Linked DNA regions of Bombyx mori. The protein of the gene in region 1 binds, or shares a complex with, the protein of each later gene. Links are inferred from orthologs where the notes say so. Each region holds a gene or a part of one and is shown on either strand. Other genes may lie near its edges.

The links.
Region 2: integrin beta subunit 1 (region 1) and LIM and senescent cell antigen-like-containing domain protein 1 share a complex: the UniProt entries of both Caenorhabditis elegans proteins name them as parts of the integrin containing attachment complex. The link is inferred for Bombyx mori from reciprocal best matches to the Caenorhabditis elegans genes pat-3 and unc-97.

What each region holds. Positions count from the first base shown.
Region 1 is NC_085116.1:9,295,947-9,300,241, forward strand, and holds the start of integrin beta subunit 1, read left to right. Parts: upstream 1-1,451; 5' UTR 1,452-1,631; intron 1,632-1,811; exon of another isoform or gene 1,812-1,863; intron 1,864-4,295. UniProt on the Caenorhabditis elegans protein: Integrin alpha ina-1/beta pat-3 is a receptor for laminin. Integrin alpha pat-2/beta pat-3 recognizes the sequence R-G-D in its ligands. Plays a role in cell migration, morphogenesis and probably in cell-cell interactions.
Region 2 is NC_085112.1:7,031,808-7,035,059, reverse strand, and holds the end of LIM and senescent cell antigen-like-containing domain protein 1, read left to right. Parts: intron 1-197; coding exon 198-339; intron 340-1,166; coding exon 1,167-1,357; 3' UTR 1,358-2,719; downstream 2,720-3,252. UniProt on the Caenorhabditis elegans protein: Component of an integrin containing attachment complex, which is required for muscle development and maintenance. Probably function in adherens junction.

The DNA.
Region 1 (4,295 bases):
AAGAAAGATGGATGCGGAACTAAGGCTGCTTGTACACCGGAGCAGAGAAACAGAGAAATATTAACCAAGAAGATTTCAAAAATCTCCGCACCTCTTTAGTGGACAGGGAGTTACGAACATAGATATAATTATACACTTAAGTTGCGAACTATATAGTTTAAAAATTCATATAAAACTGGTAAGCGGAGCGGGATAGAGGAACGAGGCCGTGGAGAGGGGAAGCAGGTGTGGGCGCGGGTGCAGGGCGCTGAGGGCGCGCTCGCAGTGTGAACTCATAGATTATACACTTAAGGAACGTAGAGCTAGCATATTCTAGTGTGGACTGTAAAACTAGAAACATTTATTTAGAAACATTTTAGAATTAACTTATAAGCTATGATTGAGTATCGAAATGTATGAGGTAGGTATGTCAGCTGTCAAATCTGTTTGAAATCTTTATGTGCACAAGCATGTTAAAATGAAACAAAATTATTGGACTTGTTTCTTGGATTCTTCCAGACTCCAGTCCCGTCATTAAATTGGTACTCAATATCAAATTGACTATCTAACATATTGCTTGTTCCACTGTTTTTGATCAGCATGTTCATTTTATTCTAAGTTATTTAGTTTGCATGGCGTACGAGCATACAGCCCATCTGACGGCAATTAATCACCGTCACTTATGAGCGTCAGTAGCCTAGGTCACTTTCGAGTTACGGCTATGACTTTATTGTTAAAGACTCGATTTATAAAATTGATGACTATCTTTGGATCGTTGATGTGGTGCGCCCGGTCCTCGTGGACTGGGTAAACCACGACCAGCCATATCTCACCTTCCAGCTGATGGTGGCTAACTAGCAATAGGTATTTCGGCGAGTATCCACATAGAGCCATCCGAAGGAGATCGCAATGGAGTGCCGACATTGACTTTGCGATGAAGACAAGAAAGAGCACATGATCGCGGCGTGCCCGCCTGCGAAGAGCAGCATTGTGACCTCATCGCGTGTATAAGACCGGACTCTAAGAGGTGATTTCCTCGGATGAGGCCGTGTGACGTGCTACCGGTACTTTTACGCACCACACCATTTTGGCGAGTGCCCAGTTGCTGATGTTGCACATCTAGATCTATGTAATGTTGACCGCGGTATACTTTAATGTTAAGTCTGCAAGCTCAGGCCGTTTTCCAATTACAGCCCAAGAGCGCATTATGCGGCATAATGCTCAACTAAGCTTCAGCATAATTCGGCATTGTGCGTCACTGAGTCGCATTATGCTCTGTAATTAAACATTACTTAAGTAGTTTTCCAATTACAGAGCATAATGCGACTCAGTGACGCACAATGCCGAATTATGCTGAAGCTTAGTTGAGCATTATGCCGCATAATGCGCTCTTGGGCTGTAATTGGAAAACGGCCTGAGCTTGCAGAGCTAGAATCGATTCAAAGAGTCGAAGGACATCCCGAACTCTATTGATGAGCATAGACAATACTCAATACAGAGTTAAATAAAGAGCTATTAGGATTAGCGAATAGCGAGCGAGTGTCCGAAATAGAATATGTTGTGCCTTCCTATTGAAAATAAAATGCTTTCGATAGCTTAAAAAAGTTAATAGGGTTTGTTTACCAATGTATTTACGAACACATTTAAGACTGGTAAGTTGGAAGTGTTTTTCATGTTACAAACTTTAATGTTGAAACAATACAATCTTAATATTAGTCTTTAATAACTGGTTTTCTTATTTCGCGTAAATATTAAAGTTTTATACTAATTTCCGTTGGAGCAGTAACAAATTATTATCTAACACATAATTTTTATGTAGCATTTTATTCCAGCTCTCTATAAAAGGGGAATTTCACTATCAAAATATTTAGGTCACTACAAAAAGTAAGTAATGGGTCACTTGTTTACAAAGCTATCGTAGTAGAACATATTAAAGAGGGGATCGTAGTAGAACATATTAAAGAGGGGGTCTCAGTTACATACCGTCTGAAATCTGGAAGGTTGCTACCTTTCAGATTACCATAGTTATCAACTTCAAGTTTGATAGCTACTTCTATGCTATCCATTTATGTATGATAGACCAGATGTGCACTGCAGTTGCAACCACATTCAATTTTAATTCAGAAATAATGAAACATGTTGCACTTTCTTTGGATAAAGAGTTACTTGTATATGCAGTATCCTAAAATTTTCTATGAATTCATACAATTGAAAAGTTGGGGTGATTCTAGGATACCTAGAGCAGCTTCCTGAGATTTTAATATCATTAGCAAACTTGGATCACTCAAAATGATTTATAAGCAAAGCATTAGTTCACACTTTGGCCATTTCAAAATCTACTGGTTGCTACCAAACAGGTCATAGATAATGTATGATAATGCAAAATAATGATGATATGATAGTGAAAATAATGAGAGTATGAAGAGTGTAGCAATAATTGGTATTAGGAGATCAGTATGTTACCAAATGCTTTCCAAAACTTTTAATCCTGTGGGCAGTGATTAATTGACACTTGATCATAACACTAGTCAAACTAGTCAAACTAGAGTTATGGTGAGCGTCACATGTCAATACTCACATTGAACTCTGAAGTGTTTGCATTAGTCAGGTTCAGTTGAAGTAACTCATTCTCGTGTTAGGCCTTCATTATACTTATCACTTCAATCTGAAAAGTTTCGTTTTATTCTGAACTGATTTTGGCCAGTAGATTCTGCTTGCCAACTGAGAGGACTTCTCCCTAACATTGGAGTATATTACAACATACCCTGAGTCTACACAAAGTTATGCAGCTGCATCATTAGCAGGAATGGAGTGCATATGAAGAGTCCTACACTCACTCACACTCATTGGGTGGACACAGATTGAAGAAGGGATCATTTTCTGCATATAACCGCATTGATCATATCATAGCACTGTCAAAGCATTAGGGTTAATTGGAAAGTTCGGGTACTTGTATGAGTCCGTTATTGATTTTGGATAAAAAATTCTTATGCAATCAGGTGAGCTGCATCTCGGCCCTTTAAGAAATGGGTGGCTTTATTCTTGACCCGCACTGAAGTCGTGATCTCGGCTATTTATTGATTTTACGGCTGGTCTAGGGAATGTATAGGAGATATGCCCTGTCGTGACAAGCGTGTCCGGGCTCAAGTGTGATAAGGACACTGATGCTTCAAGCTCTGAAGCCCGTGCTGTAGTTCTTAGTACTGTTTTAGTAGTTAGCTGTGTAGTTGTAGTTGTGTCGATTGTCAATGTGATTGACACACATTACGGACTGTGGAGACGATACGCGATACGCTCTAACCTTGTGGAGTGGGTGAATCATAATAAAGAGTCCAGCTGAGGCAGGAGCGAATTAAGCGCGTACCTTAAACGTTTGTGGTTTTACGCATAAGACTACTGGGCGGAGCCAGTGTCTACTGCGACAATCGGTCAAATCCAATGTAGCTAGATGTAGCCAAGTACTATTTTTTAAGTAGGTACCGTTCCGTATTCATGATCGATGATATCTGTGATAATAAAATAATATCGTACTTGTAGGTACCACATCTTGCACATTTCTGTCGCAAATGGCAGCACTATATAATACATAGTACATAAAAACAATCGATATTTCAACCCCATGTCTGAAGGTGGGGTGAAATTAGCATTTTGATGTTTATCAAGTCGGTGGGATATATCTTGGAATTAGTTTTCGGTTAAACATAGATATTCTAAGTTTTTTTTTCACTATTAAGTAATGACCCGCGGTCAGGGTCATCCGTGGTTATCGCACTATCTCTTTTGAGGCGGCGTGTGTACTGGCTGGGACGCCGCCTTGGGTCCTGGAGGCGGAGGCGTTCGCCGCTGACTATCAGTGGAGGGCTAACTTGCGTGCCTGGGGCGTGGCGCGTCCCAGCCCCAGTGTGGTCAGAGCGCGGAGGGTCCAATCTCGGCGGTCCGTGCTGGAGTCATCCAGGCGGATGGCCGATCCTTCGTCGAGGCGATTCTTTTTTTTTTTTATTGCTTAGATGGATGGACGAGCTCACAGCCCACCTGGTTTTAAGTGGTTACTGGAGCCCATAGACATCTACTACGTAAATGCGCCACCCACCTCGAGATATAAGTTCTAAGATCTCAGTATAGTTACAACGGCTACCCCACCCTTCGAACCGAAACGCATTACTGCTTCACGGCGGAAATAGGCGGGGTGGTGGTACCTACCCGTGCGGACTCCCAAGAGGTCCTACCACCAGTGATTACGCAAATTATAATTTGGCGGGTCTGATTTTTATTACACGATGTTATTCTTTCACCGTGGAAGTCAATCGTGCACATTT
Region 2 (3,252 bases), on another chromosome or scaffold:
CTGTGTTTAAGGTGAAAAACATATTAAAAATATTAATCCATTATTCCATATTAGTGTATATTATAATATTTTGACGCAAGTATATAAAAAATCAATCTACCTACTTCGACCACTGGTTATCATCACCCGTTTGCTACCTGTTCCGTTTGAGTCGAAAGCAATAAAAATAATAATTTAAAGAAAATTTAATTTTTCAGCATTTCGTTTGTGCCAAATGCGAGAAACCATTTCACGGCCATCGTCATTATGAAAAGAAAGGCTTGGCCTACTGCGAACAACATTATCACCAGTTGTTCGGCAATTTGTGCTACGTCTGTAATCAAGTTATCGCCGGCGACGGTAACTATTCGATTATTTCATTTAAAATTTAATGATTTCGGCATGTGATATGATGAGGTTTCATAATTGTCTGTATTGTATTGGTTTATCGTTTAAGTACACTGTTCTGCGTAATAAGTAAGTTGTGTTAATAAATATAATTTTTAATAAAGAAAACAATCGAAAATGGCCAAGTGGAGTACACGCAATAGTTAAATTTAATAAAAATCTTTGTTTTTTAACTAAGTTTAATAATGCTTTAATATCGTGCGGGCTAATACTGGAAAAAGCCTACTGAGTTTCTCGTCGGATCTTCTCAGTGGGTCGCGATTCCGATCCGGTGGTAGATTTTGCGAAGCAACGTCGTCAGGTTAGAGCACCTATTCGCACAGTTAAGTTGACATAACCTCACGAGATTACCAGCATAAGTGGTAAAAGAACGGGAAAGATTTCTACACATAGCTGTTGCACAAAATAAGTTCTGAACACAATATTTGTGTTATTGGTTAATAATCATAAACGTTTTTATAATATCACAATTCACTTAAAAACTAATTATATTCAGTGTGATTTGAAATTATATCTTGCTTATTTAGCTGATTTTTTTATATTATCGAATGAATATATTCTTAACTTCTTAAAAATTTGTGTGCTAGTATGTATTATAATTATGAAGGTTTTAATGTGAATATAATATAGGTTATATATCACAAGTAACATGTTACACATAATATGTAACTTATTGTGTTGTACTGCTGATTGCTACTTCAATAACACAAACTGGTCGAATCAAAAATATCTATTTAATTTACCATTTTTTTTCTTAATAACTGTAATTTTATTCGTAGTATTCACCGCATTGAACAAGGCTTGGTGCGTACATCATTTTGCGTGTTCCGTTTGCGATGCGCCGCTGAGCACGCGTAGCAAGTTCTACGAATACGACGAGAGGCCCGCCTGTAGACGCTGCTACGAGAAGTTCCCGGCTGAACTACGACGTCGGCTACGTCGGGCTCATCACTACACGGTCCGCCGTTAACGAAAAATACAAGGAATAAACGACATTAATCTGTCTATACCAGTGGTGGGCAAACATTTTTAATGGCGGCCACAATGTTTAGGAAATACTAGAGGAGGGCCAGAATTATAGAAAAATGTTTTTTTTTCTCCAATAAATGAGATAATGAAAGCTCCAATTCGTCAGGGGTGTTTTGAGGGGAGTTTTGAAAAATTCGAAGATTTTCAATTATAAACGTCAGATTTTATTTTACGCGCCAAACTGCCGACTAGAATATTTGGGACGGACGGACTCTCGGCGGGCCGGATTAAAATACTTCCGCGGGTCGTACTTTGCCCATCACTGGTCTATACTATACTAAACCACTATACCACAGTAATGTCGGTGTTCACATTTTTTTAACATAATTAACTAACAAATTTAAAAATATAATAAATGTAGTATGCACTTGCCATTTGTGCCTTGAAGTACCTACTATGTAACAACTAAACTTATTAATGTAATATATTAAGTGTAAAATGTAATAATTAATTATTTTATACCATACAAAATATAATGATTATGAATGTTGTCTTTACTCGCACTGATCATTGACGCGTTCGCTATTTTGTTCAAGTGCAATGGATTTATTTATTGATTTGACTCCTTTAAAAATATTATTTTGAAGTCGCTCTTATCTATTTACGACCAGATGAGCTATAAGTCAATTTAACTCTATTGGCAATAAAAATGTATCTGTTGAATGTGCTTGTAAACTATGTTTTGAATTAAGTCAAAATATCAGTTTGGTCACGTGAACCTGAATTTAAAAGCACAAAATATAAACGTAGAACTATTTCTAAGTTAACTATTTATATTAATGAACTCAAAAGGCTTGGCTTCATAAGCCAAAACGGAAACAAATCTGTAGATATTGTACACTATATGAAGATTATTAATATAAATTTTCGATGATTTTTATAAACCAATTGAACTGAATATTACAGCAAATGTGTGGTCAAAATGACGAATTTGGATCTAATTATTTTTTAATATTAATTATATAAGATTATCTTAGCCAGGGACAATGACAGTGACAATCAGACCGATATAAATGATATTTGAAAAACCCTCTGAAATGATAAATATATTTCAAAAAATTATATTCATTCCATTTTGAAGAATGCTACTTTTGACTATAATATGCTACTGCATTGTATATTAATGTCACGTTTTTAGCATGCCTTACATTAGACGAAAATTATGATTTAAAAGAAAAAAGAAAACTTGTTTCGCACCCTTTGTAATATTGTTTTTAACCCTTTTAATGTATAATACAGATATTTTATAATTTAATTTAGATCTAAATATTTATGTAACACCAAATAAAGTTTTTTACTAACACGTTATTCTTTTGATTATTGTACAATGCACGGGATTAGGGTTTCGTCAAGTTACCAAATACAAAATCAAAATTTTGGGAAGTTTTGATTTTAAGATTCTAATTTGTAATTTATTTTGTTATAGACAGCGTGTTTAGTGCGACTTTTTTAACGTTCTCGCATGTAATTAGTATGGAGTTGGAACGTTTGTCCCTAGCGGCAAATTTATGTTACCTTTTACGCTATCGAGAACGTTAAAACACTCGCATTAAGCACATAGATAGGCTATATTGTCATTTTATAAGTGGTCGTTGTTGCTCATGAACATCAGCAAACAAAAGGGTAATAATAAAAATAAAATCATTTATTGTCTTTCACATTAAATAGAATAAAATACAAGAAAAATAAAAATTAAAAAAAAGACAAAAGGAGGTGGCTCAGCTAAGGCTGTTCAAGGTCGATAAATCGAACAGCGCTGATTATCCACAATACGAGGTTCTTTATTTTAAGCTATTGCATAGCTTTTTTTAATGTTTAATATGGCGTGGTCTTGTT